Styela clava: one gene and its partner. The protein of the gene in region 2 interacts with the protein of the main gene of each other region in a biochemical or structural test. Links are inferred from orthologs where the notes say so. Each region holds a gene or a part of one and is shown on either strand. Other genes may lie near its edges.

Region 1 (10,660 bases), on a different chromosome or scaffold from region 2:
GCAATACTCATTACCAACTGTTATGAACTTTGACCGATGCTGCCAGCAACATTTTTTGAGGGGACGCTTGCCTTACGCGCCGTTTTAGACTACACACGGTGGCAGTACTTGGTTCGAAAAGCTAGCCGTGTGTAAATGTTGCTTCAACAGTCTTTTTATTATTTTACCTTTAATACTGACTAAGTTATGTTAAGTTGCATGTATTGTACAGTGACACGTCTATTTGTCGATTGGGTTGAGTACCGGTACGATACCTGGCAGTGGTGCACCCGTGTTGGTCCTGCAGTACCGTCAGAGGACCGAATATCGTGTCAAACTAGTTTATCGTGTACCTGAAAACAGTGAAATATTACGAAAAACGTTTAGTACAGCATTTCTCGGATCTACCGCCCAACCACATGGGAATACAAAGCAAAATCAACTCGTCCCCTCAAAAAGTCGTCACTCTCTGTCGAGTCGTATGAAAGTCGGTAATTATCACGCCTCGGTAACGGTATGACAAGTTTTAGTTTTCTAGCTCATTGAATTTCAACCGGCGCTCCGCGGAACAAAGGTGTTCCATGGGACATCCTTCAGCTGTTGCACTTCAAATTGTTGTCCCCTGTTTTATATTTTGGCATATTTTATCATAAAAAAAATCCATATTACCATTATTGCCTAAATATCCACCAAACACGTAGGCTATTTAGTTTTTAGGAAGATTCTGTTGCGTGTAATTAACCGAAACAATAGCTAAACAACATTTTTAACGGGAACGTAACAATTGAAATGCCGCTCGGAGGCTATTTCAAGCATGGTCGTGAACATTGTCCCGTTTTCGTAATGTCGGGCGTCATGGATCAAATTCTCATATGTTTTCAGAATTTAGATTTGAATGAAGCTGTCATTTTGTCTAATCACAGAAAGTGTGTCCGAGTGGTCGCTAAGCTTCAGTTTGCATCTTGCTGAAATGATAGGGAAGTAAACAAGTAAGTCGACACTCGGAAAGACATATGTTCATATTGCTATGGATCTTTACCCGACCTTTGACCCCATAAAATTCTTCTTATACTTTATCATTGCGAAATTTTCAGAGCTTATTTTAAGAGCGGTTTCGCGAGTTGGCGCCTGTAAAATAGGGTATCAAACCAAAAATAGGTGTTTTAAACCATCATTATGATTCATCGCATACAACAATTAAAAAAAAATATACCGGTAAAGAATTTTAGCCCAGTCTATCACAGCTATTTGTATGTATGTTTAGTCTATTTGCCTCAAAAATGTAACAGTATCTGCATAATAGTTTAACGGTATAAAAGAGACGGGATACCGGTACATGTTCAAGACCTTACTGGACTAAGACAAAGTTATACGAATGATGCCCTGGAATTGTATTTGTGCTCTCACGCATATCTTTAACTGCTCCTTACAATCTGGTAAATACATAGACCAGTTCAAATTATCCAAAGTTATTCCATTGTTCAAAAAAGGAAATGCAAAGGATGTAAAAAACTACCGACCGATCAGCTTACTTCCTGCATTTTTCAAAATTCTAGAAAAAATTATGTACAAGAGACTCAACCATTTCCTGGACCAAAAAAATTTCTTTTATTCCCAGCAATTTGGCTTTCGCCAAAATCACTCAACATCTCTACTTGTCAGTAAAATTTTAGGATTTGAAAAGAATGAGTATACTCTTAGCATGTTCTTGGACCTTTCAAAGGCATTTGATAGTATTGACCATGACATATTACTAGCCAAATTGTATCATATTGGTGTTAGAGATCAGAGTTATAATTGGTTCAAGGCTACTTATCAGGAAGGAAACAAGTAGTAATATGCAATGACTTAGCATCTAGCACATACTGTAATTTGACTGTAGGCACTTTACAAGGTTCTATTTTGGCTCCATTATGTTTTTCAATCATTATTAACGACTTTCCAAATTCTCTTCATCACTCTGATATCATACTTTTTGCTGATGACTCAACGCCATATCTTCGAGGCAAAGACTTGCCTGAACTTTTGATCAAAGCAAATACTGACTTGGAAAATATTCAAGCTTGGTTGTCTGCGAACAAACTCTAATTATCTCTCTAGCTATTAATTTGGAAAAAACTAAATATATGGTATTTAGCGCACCAAAGCAAAAGTGTCCAACACCGCAACAAAATCTGGAATTGAATGGAATAACGAGCTATTTGGGTGTAATAATTGATGATAAATTGTGTTGGGAACAGCACACAAACTTGAATCTATCTAAAACAAGGTCATCTCTAGGTGCTATTACGAAAATAGCCAACAATTTAAATACATCCTGTTTGATATCCCTATACCACTCTTTAATAGAAAGCCATATTCGATATTGCACTTCGACTTATGTTCATCGCCAAACGTTCATTATCAGAAAAATTCAAATTTTAAGTTTTTCATAGAGGAAATCGAGAAAAAGTTGATGACTTATTTAAAGAGTATGGGCTGCTACGTGTTGAGGATTCAGCTAAATTTGAACTATGCAGCATGATGTTCTCTAGCTACAACGGGCGACTTCCATCCAGTCTGAACAGATTGTTCCGAACAAACCCAAATTCAAATGGCAGAAATAAAAAAAAAATTTTCATTCCATTTGTTGCTAAAAGTATCTCACAAGAATCTATTGCAGTATGTGGACCAAAAGCTTGGAATTCCCTACCTAATGGCTTAAAAAAATCAAAATCAAACTCAGAATTTCGTTCCAAACTTATGCAACATTTGTTATCATCATATTAACCAAAATCTTTGTTTTGAACATATTACTGTTTCGGAGTTTATTTTTTTTAGGGAATTCGGTTACTAAGATGGGCTACTAGAGACTATTTGGATTGAAAGCACCAACAGGAAACTCCGAAGGATATCAAATCACCACTCAGTAGATGGCGACTTCAAACACCGCATGCTACCTCAGCAGGGTGCAATATGAAACAACGGACTGAATTAATATTTTAACTCACCCTTCTAATCTTATTATCATGCTTAATTAGACAAAGACAATAAAAACAGCAAATTAGGTTACAGATAGTAAATTACAATTACATCGTTTGCTAACACCGGTTGTGCTTCATTTACTATCAACATGAGTTTACCTGGTGGCAATCATGCACTAGTAAATTACAATTACATCAAATTTGAATTCAGCCATCAATAGAAACAGTTCTCTTTGTCAAAGTAGCACGCTGGGTCCTTTCTTTTTCATACAGGTCATTGCACAAAATCAAATATATATTCCTCCCTTCCCTCACCCCATGAAACTATATTAGGTACTCTATTGTGATCCTAATATAATTAGGGCAATCCATGACATGGAAACAATGCTTCTCTTTATAAAATATTAGCCTTAATTAAATAGTACTTTTATACATTTATTTTCTTCTGGAAAAAATACAATCATGACAGGTTTTGTGCAAATGCATTTCATTAAGTTTAATTTTCCTTTAATTCTTACCACATTCAGCTTGAATTTTATAAATAAAACAGGAATTTGACACACGAACTGAAGTATTTCACCAAAATCTGTATGGTTCACATTTTTGCTGAAACAGATATATTCCATCAAAGACTCTACTAGTACCCTTGAGTGACGCATATCATATAGGCACAAGAACCGCAAATTTATTTCTTATACTTCGCCCATTCATACTATATGGTCTCACCACTCAAAGGCGCTGTATTTGCGCCTAATTTTGATTTCATTGTTATGTATATGTTTATTTGGTGTTGTGTTGTCTCTATTTTTATATATTGTCTTGTCTTATAAACTCCCCTGTATAAACAGTTTTGTATACTCCACCCTTACCACTTTCACCACACCAAACGACCCATTGCCCCACCTTGCACAACTGTCTATATAAGGGACCATATTATACATATTTAATCTAATGTTTTTTGTTTTATATTTGTCAGAAAGGGTGCATGCCGCACATTTGTGTTTTAGGCCAGTACGGTCTTGTGCATGCATCCCGTCTTAAATATTAATAATTGTTCATTTATTTATTTATCACTATTACGAGACGAATAAACATACATACACACATACAAGACACAGATGTGCGATATGCACCTCAACAAGTATAACTGCAGTTTAGGACTGCTGCGTTATAGTAGGACAACAGACATGCAATATACAAATAAAACTCTTGTACAATAACAATACACAGTACAAAGAGGTGCCCAATGTTTGTCACCATAAGGGACAGTTCTGTCTTTACGGCCCACCTGGCGTGGTTACGGCAGCAAAATTTTACCTGCCATAGGTTTTCAATTTGCTGCCGCTGTAACGGCAGCTCGTCATTGGTTTGTGGCAGCTAAAAAGTCAGTCGCCATAGGTTTGCACGTAGCGGCCATGGTATGGAAATACCGCCATGGTTTTGCGGCAGCTGCGGACGCCACAGAATACTTGAAACTGCACTTGGAGGTTTGGGTTGCCTTAACTTACATACAGACAGATACCGGTACCGGTATAGCAAGAGCTGATATGATAGCCTACATGTCTGGGGTCTAGTATAGTTTAGTACCCCAAGTAGGTACCGTACTTCCTGTGGATGTGGCATAACAAATTTTGGATCTCCTGAAGTACACGCCGCACGTACTTCTAGTTGGCCTGGCTCAACAATATTTGCATATGTCATTCCTAACCCCCACCTGACTACGGTACGTCATGCGAAAACTACCGGTACATCACTGCAAATTCGCAGAGACGTAATACAGCCCTCCAAAGTTACGGATGGTCGCGCAGACAATCATCCGGAATCGAGCAAGCCACGGTATTTCTCTCGTTTTCTCCTCAATGCGATACCGATACTGCGATATGAGTCTAAGAGAGAGATCGCTGGGTCTAGTATAGTTTAGCAGTCTCGTGTAGTTTCGTACGGTACGGTACCTAACGTACGGTACTTCTAGTGGGCGTAGCATACCGTAACAATTTTCTGACATGTCAATCCTAACCCCCACCTGACTACGCCATCAAAAAATTACGTCACTGCGATGTCACAATCGCGTTATAGAGCTTGCTAAAGTATAGGGACTTCTCATGTTTTAAACTTGTTTATAGGTTTTGCGGGTCTCGTGTAGTTTCGTACCTAACATAGGATAGGTACTTCTAGTGAGTGTATCGCAATAATTTTTTGACATATCAATTCTAACCCCCACTTGACTATGCCATCCAAAAATTACGTCACAATCATGTCATAGAGCTCGTCAAATATACATACGATCGCCCGAAATGGCATCGGCGCCGACGATAAAGAACTGACTAATGTCAGCGATCTCTCTCATATTGGGATCGTTGCGACGAGAAAACGAGAGAAATAGTTATTCGATTTCGGATGCTCGTCTTGGACAACCGTTCGTATAGTTTGGAGGGCTCTATTACCGTACGTCACTGTGACGTTGTAGTGACGTAATTTTTGGATGGCGTAGTCAGGTGAGGGTTAGGATTGATATTTCAAAAAATTGTTATGCTACGCCCACTAGAAGTGGATTAGGTACGAAACTACATGAGACCCGGTTTTGCTTGCCCTCCAGAATTCTCCATTTTTAATTTATGTTTGTTATGGAGTTTTCGAAATAAACTATCTATCTATCTAGCTACAATAGTCCGAAATGGCATCTGTGCCGACTATACTGAACTCACTAACGTCAGCGATCTGGGTCTGGTATAGTTTAGTACCACATGCACTTCTAGTTGGCCTGGCTCAACAATTTTTGCATATGTCAATCCTAACCCCCACCTGACTACGTCACCGAAAAATTACAACATTTCGTCGTCACAGTGGCGTAATGAGGCCAAAACGTGCAGACGGTCACCCGAAATCGAGCAAGCTATTTCTCTCGTTTTCTCGTCACAACGATCACGATCAGAGAGAGATCGTCGGCGTTAGCGACTCGTTATCGGCGGCGCAGATGCCATTTCGGGCGATCGTAATTATACTTTTGCAATCCTATGACGTGATGGTGACGTCGTAGTGACATCATTTTTGGATGGCATAGTCAGGTTGGGGTTAGGAATGACATATGCAAAATTCGTTATGCTACGCCCACTGGAAGTACTACTTGTGGTACTAAACCTTACTAGACCCCATTTTTTGTTATCTAGCTAGCCGATCTGCCAATGCCATCAGCTGTCCATTTCTCTCAATTTTGTATTTTTGTTTCATACCCCAGTCAGAAATTTGGAAAATACTACCAATGGCGTTCATAAAATTTATATGCATATTAATCATCACTGTTTCGCTGATAATAACTGGTAAAGGTGAGGACACTGAAAGTGTTTTATCTATGCAAAAGCATATTGGTGGTGCAGAAAAACTTGTTACTTTGAAAAGGATTATTCGTGATGTTGAGACTGGGTCTGGTGAAACTGCGACCGACGAAGAACAAAATATATTGAGGAAACACACTGATGTGGTATGATAAAATTTTTTTGAAAAATCACTATTCTCTGAATTCAATCTGTTCAAAATATTCATCTAAAAAATTAGTTGTGTTAGACCAAAACAGCCCAGTTACGCACCCATACCCAGACGAGGAAGCAACCCATTAATTCCCTCTTCTTTCCAAGATAAACCTTACTTTGTTGTAATTACCAATTACCTACAGTAGTCATCTCTTAATTAACTAGAAAATTTAGTATGCAGCTACATTAGTACATGGAAATAATTTTTCCTAAATATTGAAAGAGTTTAATATAAAGTAATGTCTAGGCGTCCAACCTTTGCAATTCAATATCTATTATCGATATGTTATCATTTCAGCATGTGTTCAGCAATGACAGCAACCCATCAATATCTCTAATATGGACTGGTACAGAAGGTGCCTTAATTGCTTTAACAACAATGGGAAATGGGATAACCTTAATTCCATCAAGGCTTTACAGAAGTTCTAACTTTGGAAGGTAGATATGATTTTTTGCAAGAAGTGTTGTGTTCATTCAATGCACTAATAGCGGTCAAATACAAAATATGCTGGCACTAATGACTTAGAGCAGTGGTTGCATTCCCCAGACGTCAAACTAATTTTTGTGAACTCTCTTACTTTTAATGCATAAAGCAGGAATTGCTCAAATTTATTATTATGAACATAAGAATGTATGTCATGACAATGGCTATTGTACGCTGTTTGTTTTGTAGTAATTAGAACAAGCGAAAACACATGTCAGTTGTATCAACGTTTATCTTGTTGGTTTACTTGCTGAATGTGCCTATCGTTAATTGTCAGTTTAGTTTATTCTAATTATTAAAATTTGGCATTAAATATAAATGTCGGAAAGTTGGCGACGGGGGTCGAACATTTTAAAGTGGTCGGTCGGAAGATATTTATTCGTTGAGCGTTCGTTATATGTGATTTTAAAAACCTATTGCGAATATTTCAGTTATACTTTAATAATGACATGTAAATATTTGTATATAATATTATGTATTATGAATGCTATACACTCATTTCCTGTAATATTTTGTCTGATACACTGTTGAAGGGATTACCATTTTAGACAGGAAGCTTGACAACATATTGCTCGTAGATTGCACTCATGTGTCTTCATTTGATAATTCATAAGACACCCACACCTCTATAATACCTATGATACCATACATACAATATTCAAATATGAATATTTTCTTTGAGCAAGCTTAATTTCAACAAATATGAAGATGTAGTAAAGCAGTAAACTGTATTTCATTTTTAAGTTCGATGAAATTTTTTTTTATTGCAAATCTATACAAGAATGCATTCAATTTCAGGAAAAATCCATCTAATCTGGGGCTTATCACTGCTGTACTTTCTTATGGTATTATTGTAGAATATAATTCATAGTTTTTTACCTGGACTTCTTGTCTTTGTAGATGTATGTCAGTATGAAATAAAAAGTGTATGCCAGATATTTCATACTGGTTTACAATGTAAAATGAGTATTAACTTTGTTTAGTTCCAACTTTTGATCACCCTTGAGCCCTGGCATTTAATTTGGGGAGTTTGATTTTCTTTAATTCTAATTTATTTTTGTTCAGTTCAATTATTCGCACAAACAAAAATCATAATTTCGCATTATATGGAAGCCAATTTTCTCACTAGAATGTCGAAAGTCAAGACTGAGTGACAATCAATACTATTTGTTTTCTAGATCTTTTGTGGACATATCAGACAAGATCGAGCATGATAGAATTCTGAACAATCATGGAATGCTTGTCAGTCCAGTTGATTCCAACAATGTGAGTGTGTATTTTGTTTTTGAATTGCAGACATATATATGTATGGAATCTTGCTTACAATTTTAAAACCTAATGGATAAATGCTGGTATACAATTATTAGAAATGATATTATCTCAATTACGATCTACTAGTTTTTAATTTTTCTGGAACTAAATTGCTTCCAAATAGTAAATTGTTACGTACGTTATCATCATTAACTTATTTTGAGAATGGAAGATTTTGTTATGATTGATGAGCCTTTCTGTGTGGATAACATTTTGGTTAACATCCTGATGTCACATGTTAGTGGTCTCGGTTTTTCTTGGGAGCGAATCCAGCCCCATTGGCTTCTTTTAATCTTTCATATTGATGACTACATGGACAAAGCATTATTTGTAGTAAATTTGTCAAGTGCTACATAAAATAATAAATAACTCCCGTAGTATGTGTACCAGGTTAGAGTTAGGGCATAATTTTATTCAGATTTTCCTTATTTTAGTTTTATTACGAATTCGGGGACTTTCAATAGCAAGAAAAATTGTTTTTTCCAGGTGATGTTGGTCACTGATCAGAGTTTTTCCTTATTTGCTCGTGGGATGGATTACAGGAGCGTTGTGTATATTACTACAGATAATGGTCAAAGTTTTTCGAAGAGTAAACTCAAGTTTATAATTGATCCTAGTTCTGTCTATTTCAACAAATATGATACTTTGAAGTAAGTAAGACTGAAACTTGTTAGGTTGTTTCACTTGTTTTTTGATAAATTTTAATATTATCCCAGGAGAGTGGAAAGATAATATGGCTGAAGTGTGAAATTTCGCCTATCAAAATTCGGAATATTTAGAAATAAACCCATAAGAAAAAAAATTATAGTGGGATAAAAATGTCGTTTAGAGCTGAATATCGAGCGAGTTTTCAATCTTTATAATACTTTGTATAGTTCTAAAAAATTTTTTTTTAAACAGAATAAATTTTGCAAATGCTACCAAATATATTCAAATACCAAAATTACGGCTTCGTATAAGGTATAAGTATATATTGCAGATAGGTTTTGGTTTTTATTGAATTCTAAAAACTTTCACTGACTAAAAGCATTTTTTTATATAATAAAAAATTTATTGCACGAAATTCCATTGTTGAATGGTTTGATCGTATATGTTGTAAAGGTAAAAACATTTGTTAGCTGCTACATCATGTGACCATTACTATGCACAATTATTCCAGTCATATTTACATGAATGTGAAATGAATCATGTGATATTTATGAACTGCTACTCAAGATTGTAAAAATTGACATTCCTTTCATACATGGTTTGTCTGGTATTATACCAGATTCATTATATGAGCTGGTTAAATTTTAATAATTTGCCACCTTTAATACAATAAGGATTCGGGAATACAAATTCTTTCATATTCAATACCAAAACTGGTAATCTAATTCCGGGGTCATTTTAGAGGTGACATAATGTCAGAAGACATATTTCTGACTCATTGTTCCACTTTGTCAGCTGCTTTGTGGAATGTACTGATACAACATGATTTGCATGTTAGATGGCTGTTTTGCTATCTAAAATAACATATTCAATGAGATAAATCCGAAATATTTGAAAATCTATGTTATTGTATGATACAATTATCATTAAATTGCATTTGGACTTTATTCTGTTAATAAAATGTATGATATTGGAAATTTAAAGATCTTGAATTCAATGTTTTGTGGTTCTCTTTATGTAGCAAAATTTTTAATTTCAAGTTGAAAAAATATTAGGGGGGAATTTTTAACGTTGAAATTTTCAGTAATTATTTGAATTTGTTTGTTCTGATACCTGTTTATTATTATTAAAGCTTATCGTGATCATTTTTTTAGAATCTTGGCAATTTCATCTGACAACCATGGCTTGTGGATTTCTTATGATTTTGGTTTGGTATGGCGACATATATCTGATCATGTGATTCAAGTAAGATGGGATCCTACAGATAAAGACACATTTTATTATGCAAAAGATCCAACTGGGAGCATGATTTGTAAGTTATAATTTTATATCATACAACTTCACTTTCCAATGGTAATCTTCCTAATGCGTAGGCTTTCATGATGTATATTTAAGTAAAAATCTTTTTGGAAATAGGTGTTATTGACATTTATCGATCATTTACGATCTAGTTCATTCCTCCTTATCTTAAGTTTTTTTAGTCCAGGCTATTTCATGTACATTTTTAGCATTATGTAAAGGATATGATTTCCATATTCACTCCGGGGGAGAGGGAAAATTCTAAGCGACTTAATAATCATAACTGCAGCCAGTTGTCTGTTTACCGGTCCTTATTGGGCATGGGGTTAGTTGACCAGTTATTCTGTTCTGATAGATAGGCACGGTGGTGGAGAAAGCCATAACCACCAGTTATCACGTGAACCCTCTGATGGCTTGGAGTCCAGCAATCCTCTCACACATGAGCTATT
Region 2 (11,104 bases):
TTGTTTTTGATTGAAAATATTTTCTTATCGGGTATTTTAACTTAGTTTAGGCGACCTCGGCAAATTGTGTCTTAATTAGTTGTTTTCATCCTCAGTTTCGATAGTGACCGAACATAACAGGAAATTTTTTCATTTCTTCCAATTTAGCGCGTATAAAATAGCTCTTAAATAGTATTTAATATCTATCGCGGATTTCGTCGGCATCCGGCATTGATAACAACATCAGTTCAGTTAAAGTTAGCGGTGTTCATTTACAAACAAAAATACATAACAGCCGACATGAAATATTCAAATCAGCGCAGAATTCAATAATAAAACACGTTTTATGGTCTTAATATGCACATAGAAAGAAGAAAGGACAGAGAAATAACGACTAAAAACTAAGAACGGTATGGTATGTTTGTGTACTTTTGTTTACCATCGTCATCATAATCAAATTAGTTAAACCCGATTCCCAAATTTCCGTCCGCCAATAATGGAGAATGAAGATGGAAAAACGTGTTTTACTTTTTGAGTCGGCGTTGATTTACATTTTTCATGTTATGTGTTATAATTTTTTGATTATAAACCAATACCTCCAACTTAAAATGAACGATATTGTTATCAACGACGTCAGGACTCGGGATAACGATAAAATCTCCGATAGAAACCAAATAATATTTAGAAGCTATTTTATAGATTGCAAGAAATTAAAAAATTTCCCGTTAAGTTCGATAACTATCGAAACTGAGGATGAAAACAATTAATTAGGACAGGATTTGCTTTAAAGTTTATTGCCGAGACGCACAACATATCTTGACTAAATTGAAATATACGATAACAAATGTAAAAAATTTTCAACCAAAAACGTCCTCGACGTCTTATAAGCACTTCAAGTCAGAGTTTATTGAAAACCTTTCACGACGACTGTTAGTTATTGCCGTGCCACACATGGCTGCTTTCGATTGCGATAAAAAATGAAATAATTGTGGAATGTTTTTAAATCAGAACGTGGACGGGGGCGGTAGGATGTTTACGGCGTTTTCGGCCTTTCATATGTAGAAAATCTTAGGTTATTCGAAGCAATATTTTTCCGAAAATAATTTTCGTATCCAGATTTTCAGAGTTTCTACTGCATTATTATAACATGAAGACGGGCGGCGTTACATTGCGTCAAGATGATGAAGCACGAGAGTATTCGTCACAAGAGAGAGAGAGATAGCATTATGCTATTGTCGCTTTCAATTCGCATCGAAAGCGCGCGATTTCTACTTTTTTGAGATAACATATCTCATTTTCGAATACAAACATATACGCGGGGTTAGCGATTATTACGTAACTATCAGCAAAAAGGTATGATTGAAGTCGGGCGGTGTTAAATTACGTCGAGGTGATAAAGCACTGGAAAAAAGTTTTCACCGGATTGTTATGACTGTGGAACGACGTTGTTTTAACGTAGAACAATAATAAAAAAAAAACGAAATTCAAACGGGGGGGACACGACCCCCGTAACCCCCCCGCTGGTTGCGCCACTGGCCTCATATCTGGTTTATTTCCTTCGATGTCAATCGTGCTTACCATCAGTTTGTGAAGTTTCTGATTTTAACAATTCGTATTCTTCTACTTTCTTTCTGTGGTGAATGAACTCCATGTGAAGACTTTTTAGTTCATCATCTGTAAACTTCCCATGTTTGTTTGCTGTTTGCCACAGTTTATCCAACTTGGGATCCTGACGAATATAAAGATTTTAGGAACTAGTGAAGACAAGGTTTTTGGACCAACAAGGTTTTGGTCAAAAATTTTGCCCATCCAAACTGGCGTGACATAAAAAGTTCCGTTTATGAACAGTGTTTCAAAAGTGAAAGTGGCAACAATAAGCCTCGTGCCAAAACTGAAATTAATCGCTAATCAACAAATTCCTTGAGCTATTTTCTAGCTAAAACATCAAAATTTGGTTCTCATTTGGTTGTGGCGATTGGCAAACCAGATTTACAATGTAGTGCATGTAGAATTAGTTTAAAGAAGAAATTTTCGACAGCATCAGGCGGGCCGGATTTGGCACACGGGGCGTATTTTTCCCATGTCTTCAGAACTAGTGTCATCCTGAGTGTGCCACTACCAGAATAAATTATTGAAACATACTGACTGGAATAGCTTTACTGCTATTTTGTTTTCTTGTTCAAGACAATGTTGACTTATGTAATGTTTTGTAAAATTGTTTTTGCTGCTGGGGTTATTGTTCTTGTTGGGTAAATATGGCTTTTCTCCGCATGCAATGGACCATTCAGTTTTAAATGCTTTGAGCCACTAATAAGCTGTTACTCTTATGTTTTTTTCAAACTTTCTCTGCATCCTGTATGACCGGATATTTCATCCAAAATTTCGAGTTTCATTTGAATTCCTCAAAAGACTTTTTGGTGCTCCCGAAGTATGTGAATCAAGATGGCGAAAACCGCAACGTAGTATATGTACCAGGTCAGAGTTAGGCTCTAACTTCAGGTACCAATACTACGGGAGTCATTTGGCTAGTCCCCGAACTCGTAATAGAACTAAAATAAGGAAAATTGGAATAAAATTATGGCCTAACCCTAACCTGGTACACATACTACGTTCCAGTGTCCGCCATCTTGGTTCACATACTTCGGGAGTACAGACTTTGTTATGTATTATCGAATCACTTTATTCAATCATGCTTACCCACTGATCTTCAAAGAAAGTACTCAAACAGCTGAGATTCATGGCCTCATATTGGAGTATTGCTCTTACTAGGAAGACCAGTCAAAAATTATTTCAATTACCTCTAGAAACCTGGTATCTGTAGACTTTTTTTCCCGCTTCTGTTGTGGTTTTATTCTCTTTTTTCCAGCCAGACCATATTTCAGCATGATCTCTAAAAATTAACATAGATAGGAATGAAATGCAAGTCGGGGACAAGGACACACACCGAAAGCAAAATTTATAACTAGATACAGTCGTAATTGCTGTTTTGAAGAACAATTCAAACTATGTTTTGTGTCAAAAACATGATTTACCTAGTTCAATTATCATGTGGCACATTTGGTTTTCAAGTATTCAACTTCTGGTAAAGGTCAACAATAATAAAAAAAGTTTATCGCATTGTTTTGCACTGCAAAGATTATTAATCTTAGTGAATTTGTATGACCATGACATAATAAATACCGTAGTATATTTATATTTCATAGTCAAAACAGGCAGTAATTTTGAACATATTTTAAATAGCACGCACCATAATTTGATTTTGCCATTCATGCAAAATAATCTCAGTTTAAGTTTGTAACATTGGTGAAATATAAATACAAAACCATAACAAAAATATAATTCCATGTTCCAAGATGATACAAAGCATGACTGAATAAGTGATATAAAATCCTTGATAAATTAGCTCTTTACAGTTAGTTAGATGTAACCCACCATGGAGGGCATCAGTGAGCTCTGCTTCTTTGAGACCGTCATCTTCACCTTGATTAACTTTATTTCGTTTGTGTTCCATCAATAGTCGATCATGGTGTTTCAAATCAGCGTACAAATCTGTCATCTTCAGTGCTGGAAGCTTCATCTATTGATAAAAAATAAATCAGTATCACAAAACACAAACTATTAGTGAGATATTGCAGCATTTACACTTTTATGTTAAAATTGAATTATTCTGATCAGTGAAGCTTCAATGATTACTACCATGGGGCAGTTGGGCACAGTTTCCAATTTCAAGAATGTCCTGTCATTTGGTTCAATAAAACAAACACATTATTTTTTCCTGAGGAATTCAATGATGACGTTTTTAGATTGCGCTTCTTTTTAGTCCATTGTTTAACTTCATGTTACTGTATTTTCACTGTTATTGAGGGACAACAATGTCCAGATGTCCTGAAAGGATTGGGAAAATGGGATTCTCTGAAACAAGACAATGTCGCTCGATCTGTAAAGTGTGCCGTACTGCAGAGACTGAGATAGAATCATAATGAAGTTGAATTTGATGGTGCAGAACTGTAAGAAACAATCAAACCAACCTTTTCTGCTTTTTCCCAGACTTGATTAACTCTTCCACTTCGAAACTTTCGAATATTATCATCAGAATTTGGTATTTCATTGCCATCTCTACTTCCACCAGCTGCAATTGACAGGATAAATTGTGCGCAAAAGATGATGCATATACTTCTATGCATTTTTAAGTTCCAAGTTCAATCAATCAATCAAATCGTTTTTTATTTTGCAAGATAATACCGTAATAAAAGGAATGTAGACTATATTTTATTACTGAGATAACAAGAAAAAATATGAACTTAACAAATCTCCTACGCATTTTAAATGATTGATAATCCATGTTCTCAGCAGTTATTTCAGTATTTTGAATAAAAACAGAAAAGTGTGTTATTTATAAGTAAATGGATATCGGTTTTCATATTTCTGAAAAATAAGCCCTAGTGCAGTATGGTAGTGTTATTCTGTTATTCATCCGTATGCTGTTAAGCAAAGTCTGCTCATCTGGTAGCGATTTATTGTTTTGTCAACTAATAAACAATAATAGCCTACGAGTATTGGCTGATTGGTACAATAAAAAATATTCAAACTAAAGAGCTTGATATACAGAGAGCTTGAAAATGAGACATTTCTCAGATTTCTGAGCATTTATTGCTGTAAGGCAGTAATGCCAGAAATTCAGCGTTCTATTATCAATAATACATTAATATGAAACATGAAAAGACTTTTCCAAGCTTGCTTCGATACTGTATAAGGATGCAAAAATTTATTTAGAGTCTAATTATTAGGTCAAATAAATTGGAAACCCCAATAACATACCTACTGACATACGGTAGAAATAAAAAAAATATCAAAGTACCTGAAATCGCAAGTGCCTGGTTTTAGGGAGACCCCATTATTTGCGATGTAAACGAGTTGCCCTGTTGTTTTACACTTTTATGAGTAAACGGTTCACCGTATCCAAATCCCTTTACAGCACCGTACCGGTACGGTACCTTCACAGTCCAGACTACACTGGACTAACTTTACCAGTACCAGAGTACCGGTATCGACTATATTTTTTCAATCTATTTTCGCTTCCACTGAACTGTCAGACGCGAGTTGTTGTAGCGGAAAATCGTAATTACGGTACCGGTACCCTGGACGCACAGACAATGCATGTATCGGTAACATCTAATGCAGTAATGTACCGGTACCGTACCGGTACACTAACATCTGCAGATCTATGTTATGTAACATCTCTTTATCTATGCACTATGCTGGACGCGACCCCTCCGATCTATCCTTAAACCTACAAGTCTTGCAACTAACATATTAGTAACCGCTATGGGTATCGGAATCGTGACGCAAAATTGCCGGATTAATAACAATAAAAGCATTTCGTTAGTACACTGTACACTCATGAATTTTTTGCATCATTTACTTGTTCGATTGCATAGAATATTGGACTATTCATGCATGCTAATTTTTTAACCATCAAGGCCGACCATGTTTGAATTTTGTGCCGAAGTTTTATTTTTTATATTCAGAAACTTAATTGTTATTTACGTATATAGATATCATGTTTTTGTCGTGATTCTCTCGAAGTGCTGCGTTTCATTGTAGTTCACTTTTAATGCCATGTTTTATTCGGGCAGCAGGATTTCGCTGGTTGTGCAAGAGGCTAGCGAAGAAGACACCACAACTGCATAAATTAAGCCACACAAAAATTTGTTGTGAAGCAAGAGATTGATGCCCAAATATATGGACACGAAAGCCATAACGGAACAACGATCGGAACGTGGTGGAGTTCCTACCTAAACCAACCGGAATGAAACTTTGTTCAAAACATCACGAAGAAAAATACAAACAAGGAAAAGAAAAACAACATATTAATAACAAATCGACCCATGTGCACATTTCTGCGGAAATACCTAATTGAGTCGTTCACATCACATTTTTGTTTTGAGTTATTCAAAACTAGATAAATTCATTAGGGCTGTTTACTGTTCTAAAATTTCTAAATATTTTACCTTCTCCGATCGGTGGGATTTACAACAGCTAGTATTCTTCCAACTAATTTAAATCCACGTTCTTGCTGGGCTTTTTTATGTTGGTGAGCAGTGGCGTATCTACTTAAAATAGCGCCGATGGCAAAGTCTAAGAATGCGCTCCCTTGATAGTTGTTTGATAATTTATATTGATTGTTAATGAACTAGGAAACTTCTACGTTATTATTTGAGGAAAAAATACAAGATTCAGTTGTTCCCAATTTGAAATTATTCATTGAAACGTTTTATTATTGATATTTTCCGCCGTTTCGCGCCCCTGTTTAAACGGCGCCCATGGCACGAGCCGTGGCTGCCACACCCTATTTACGCCACTGTTGGTGAGAAGCGTCATAAATTTTTCGAAATTTAATTTTGCGATAAAAGATTTATTTATTACATATATATGCGGAGGTTTTCTTTGTACATGCCAAACCAGTGTTGTGGTAACCTTTTCACAAAGACTCCGTTCATCCAAACCAGGGTGTGCAATAGGCGGCCCGTGGTCAACAACCCGGCCCGCAAAGCCATGTGGTGTGGCCCTTGTCAACAACCCCCAATCTAAGCATAAAATTCTATTCCGACAGTTTATGTCTAAGAAAAGCCGCTTGCATGGATAAAAATACTTGAAGATTTTTTGCTCTAGTCGCTACGTTAAATATTTCGTTGTTTTGCCCGGTGCATTTATTATGACTAAGCGATGGCCGCATTCTCTTTTCTTGCCTTTCCCGCGGCGCTCTGTATGTTGCCAATGTACATTGAAATACTATTTTTTGTATGGCCCAGCTAGTTGGCTGAAGTTGATTATACGTAGGGTTACCATATTTTTGTGACTTCAAAGCGGGACGCCTCAAAAGACAACGACCCCTTAGCTAAGATTTTGTAACTTCACATTTTCCGATTTTACTACATAGGCCTACATTCAGTGGTAGGATTCAAATTTTTTGTCAGCTGGTTCCATCACAAAATTCATATTTTTCGGCCGGCTCTGTTTCATGTTTTTTAGCAATGCTAACCGGTCCGCTGATCTCATTAAATTCCGTGAGACGGTTCTATAGAACCGGTGCGAACCGGCTGAATCCCACCACCGCCTACATTTAGAGCTGTCCCGGCTGTCTTTATTGACCATATTGTTACCGAACTTTCATGCGCATATTCTCTGTACGAATATCGGATTCAGTTCGAAAAATATAAAGAAATTGACGTTAACGATATCGGTACAAATAATTCGAATTTAGACTAATTAGTAATGGTTTTACATGCGATACGTCTGCTATCAATGGGAATCAGCAGGAAACAAACGCAATCGCCTTCAGTAAGTAGGCTAGCGCTGCGCTTCACAGAAACAACAGTAACGAGAACATGTTCGAGTATTATGCTGGATGGCTGAACGCAAAAGCGGGACTTTTGGCTGACTTGTCGGGACGGCGGGACAAGACGCTAAAAAGCGGGACTGTTCCGCCTAAAGCGGGACGTATGGTAAACCTAAATTTATACGGCCTACCGATAGAGAATGTTGCACACCCCTGGGCTCTGATCTAAACGAAATAGCTCGGACTCGCACTAACAACTAGAAAGACTTTCTTTTTAAATATTTCCGCGAGTTTTTGAAACAAGCAAAAGGAAATCGATTAATGTGGACAAAAATCAAAATTTCAATAGTTTGTTGCTGTGCTTATCTGAGGTAAATGGTTGCACGGTTGGTAATTCAACTTCTGTTTTGATACTCAAAATATCTTCGGTTTAACACGAGATGAAACTTTTCAATTCTTGATGTAAATGTGACTGAATATCCCTTTCGCTGTTTTCACGAAATCTACTGTGACTAGTGATTTAAAAAAGCTTGACTTGCGACTCGCCATAACAGTGAATTGACTCGTCTTTGCATTCTAACACTTGATAGGAGTCGAGTCGAAGATGATCAGCGACCCAGGGTCCAAAGATTTGAAATCATGAAACACGTATATATCATAAAACACGATCGGAAAGTCAATTCTTTTTAATTTCGGTTTCTTTCATGACGAATCTGTATTTTCAGAAAACTAACTTTCTATGAACAGCCTGTCTCTCTTGGTCACGGCAGGAGTCACGATAATTTGCACGTTATTCTTGAAAGCTAAATTGTTTGATACTGAAGAATTGGAACATTGGACGGAGTTATTTGAAAACCGAAAAAAATAAACTAAAATCTAACAATCTAAAATGCAATAGGGAAGATAAATCTTAAAAATATATTCAAAATTAGTAAAAAATAAATGCAATATTATTTTAGCAATGTTCTAACATTGCAGGCAAGGAAAGTCTACGATCATCGCTTTGTTTGTCCAGTCGCAGAAAACTCGTTTCAGCTACTTGAGGGTCTTCCGGCCTCGCTTCTACAACAACCTTAGTTGCATTTTTAGTCGCTGCATTTTTATTTTCTTTTTCGTTGTCATCGTCTGGTTGAACAGGCGTTTTACTTTCATTTGGGTTCATGCAAGACAAGTCTCGATAGAATGCTATTGTATGTCGTAAGCTATAATCCAAATTGACAGTGTATCTTTCAAGACGTTGGATCCTTGATTTTGTGAAGCCGCAATCCCCGAGCAATTGAATGTAACTGTAGAATATATCCGGGTCACCATCGAGACTTAACAACGATTCACCTTTTTCGTATTCATTTTGCACTTTGTTTCTAATAGAAAAAATGGAATAAATTTGAGTCAAATATAAAACAAAACATTCTTACAAATAGAAGAAATTGAGCAGCGACAGACATTCTGTATTCCTCTATTTCGTTCCATAGTATGAAGCCAAAAACAAATCATGATTATTTGTCTTACCCCATTATTCGAAGTATTTTTCAGTTATATCAAATAACTATGAGCTTTATTCAAAAGTATATAACGAATCAGAAGAAAAATGCAAATTTTGGAATACTCCTGAACCATTATAGAAATCTGACAAATACTACTTTACGTTTTATCATATCAATGGAAATGCCCATTCATAAATGTTTTTGTAATAGTATCAAAATTAATAATTGTTGATGAAATACTAAGATCTTACTGGAATATCTCAAAAATCGTCCAATCATCTGGTATCTTTTCTTGCTCAATTCCAGCACTTCCTCGTTGATCTGCATCTTCAATAACTTGCAAGATATAACTTGTTCTGTACGGCCATTGGTCAGCAAGTACAATCCAACGAACTAAGTCCTCCGCACCTTGTTGAGTGCGAACTAGATTGAAACAAAAAACTCTCAAATTATATATAGTATAATAAATAAGTTTTAAAAATAACTTCGAGTAGGATATTTTTTTATTACGTTTCCCATGGGTGATCCACTAATAAACCGTCAAACCATCTGCAATCAATAAAACAGACTATACCACACCAATAGTAAATATTGCTCAGAATTTCAGCTTCTGCGTCTAGTCTAAATCACAAATAAAATTTCAGATTTACCGAGTCGGTTGTCATCAAGAAAAGGTCCATTATGAGTGTTATCGTTGATATGTGAATGAATAAATCTTGTACGCTTTTCCTGTTATAAAAAATACAAGAAATTACATATTCAATAAAAATTACCAGCACAGAAATATTTGGCATTTTATCAGATTTCCGGATACTCCCATAGTGTGTGCACCAGGTTAAGGTTAGGCCAAAATTTTATTCTGATTTTCCTTATTTTAGTTTATTACGAGTTCGGGGACTGTCTGTGTGACAAAGTGAATATACCCCCTGCCCATAGGCTTCAGTCCCCTTACACAATTTGATGTAAAGTAGGCGAAACAAATTAATTACCTCCATATGGGTACACATACTTCTGGAACGCCGTTTTTTGATCTGAGGTAGCATTTTACTGCTAACGGACAAGAACGCGAAACAGAAAATTCCCTCGTGAAAAATCATAATATCATCCAATGCTGCTCAAACGCTGTCACTTACCTTTTTATGAAAACAGTTCATGATTCTAGCTGTGAGAGAGATGACATTAAACAGACGTTTGATGTTCCGAGGATTTCCCTGTAAATGTTTATGCAAGTCTTCATCGTTGAAAATAAAGTTTCTAAAAAAAGAAATAGGTAAGTTGTTCTAATTAAAAATTAAGACTGATCTAATGATATATCATGATTCGACATACCGCCAACGATACGTTTTAATCAATCAATCAAATTTATTCTCTTCGCTCTGACTTAAAAACAACATAACAGTAACGAACACAATGCAACAGAGTGACCGAGAAGGAGATGATAACTTAAAGGTTAAAGGTTAAAAACGTACAAAAGTACGCGCTCACCACCGAAACAGTGAATCTCACGGTAAAATGAACAAACACGTCATAAAATCGGGCAATAACTTTTAAATCAATTAAAGATGTGAATACACAAAACAAAATAGGAAAGGGGCAAAACATTTTACAAGCGGAGATTAAATAAATGTATCATGACCATCGCCGTCGTCATATGGCGCAGTTATTTGTCAACAGTTATCAGATAACAGTTACATTTAGTTTAAAATTTGGGCGCTCCAGAAGTGTGTACCAATACGGAGGTAAATAATTTTGTTCGTCTACTTTACATCAAGTTGTAGGGTGAAGGGACGGAGCTTATGGGCAGATGTATATTCACTTGTCTAACACAGACGGTCCTCGAAATCGTAATTGAACTAAAATGAGGAAAATCGGAAAGAAATTATGGCCTAAATTATGGCGTTGTATTTGATCAAGAATTACCTTACAATCATAAATACACACCTGCAATGAAACAAAAAGCTTTTGTGATCCAGTTCCACAATAGGTTCGCACGGAACTCCTCGTCTTCTTGCATCAACTCCTCTTATTGATGCCACGGCGGAAATTATATAGGCCGAATGGTCGGTCGGATTGGAACAATTTTTTACATCATGTATGATGATATCTATAATATTAATTAAATTGTTATAAAGTTCGTTTCCAAGTGAATGCACTCCCTTGATCGTTGACTGACAATTTTTAATGGCTGTTGTTAAATTGAGATACTTGTAGGTTATTATTTAAATAGAAACAAAGGGTTCAATTATTTTATTGAAACATTTGACAATCAAATTTTTCGCCTTTTGCGTTCCTATTCAAACGG

The links. The genes of interacting proteins can lie anywhere in the genome.
Region 1: the proteins of alpha-2-macroglobulin receptor-associated protein-like (region 2) and sortilin-like form a complex in vitro, tested with the Homo sapiens proteins (4 studies listed by BioGRID and IntAct, with this or other methods). The link is inferred for Styela clava from reciprocal best matches to the Homo sapiens genes LRPAP1 and SORT1.

The regions. Positions count from the first base shown.
Region 1 is NC_135257.1:16,370,386-16,381,045, reverse strand, and holds the start of sortilin-like, read left to right. Parts: upstream 1-6,151; 5' UTR 6,152-6,201; coding exon 6,202-6,420; intron 6,421-6,767; coding exon 6,768-6,907; intron 6,908-8,131; coding exon 8,132-8,219; intron 8,220-8,750; coding exon 8,751-8,914; intron 8,915-10,066; coding exon 10,067-10,224; intron 10,225-10,660.
Region 2 is NC_135251.1:11,781,548-11,792,651, reverse strand, and holds the start of alpha-2-macroglobulin receptor-associated protein-like, read right to left. Parts: upstream 4,273-11,104; 5' UTR 4,164-4,272; coding exon 4,008-4,163; intron 3,557-4,007; coding exon 3,412-3,556; intron 2,870-3,411; coding exon 2,778-2,869; intron 1,709-2,777; coding exon 1,558-1,708; intron 1-1,557. Other genes in the region: uncharacterized protein LOC120336713, read right to left, coding at 8,274-8,679, 9,054-9,225, 9,453-9,531, 9,936-10,056, 10,744-10,906. UniProt on the Homo sapiens protein: Molecular chaperone for LDL receptor-related proteins that may regulate their ligand binding activity along the secretory pathway.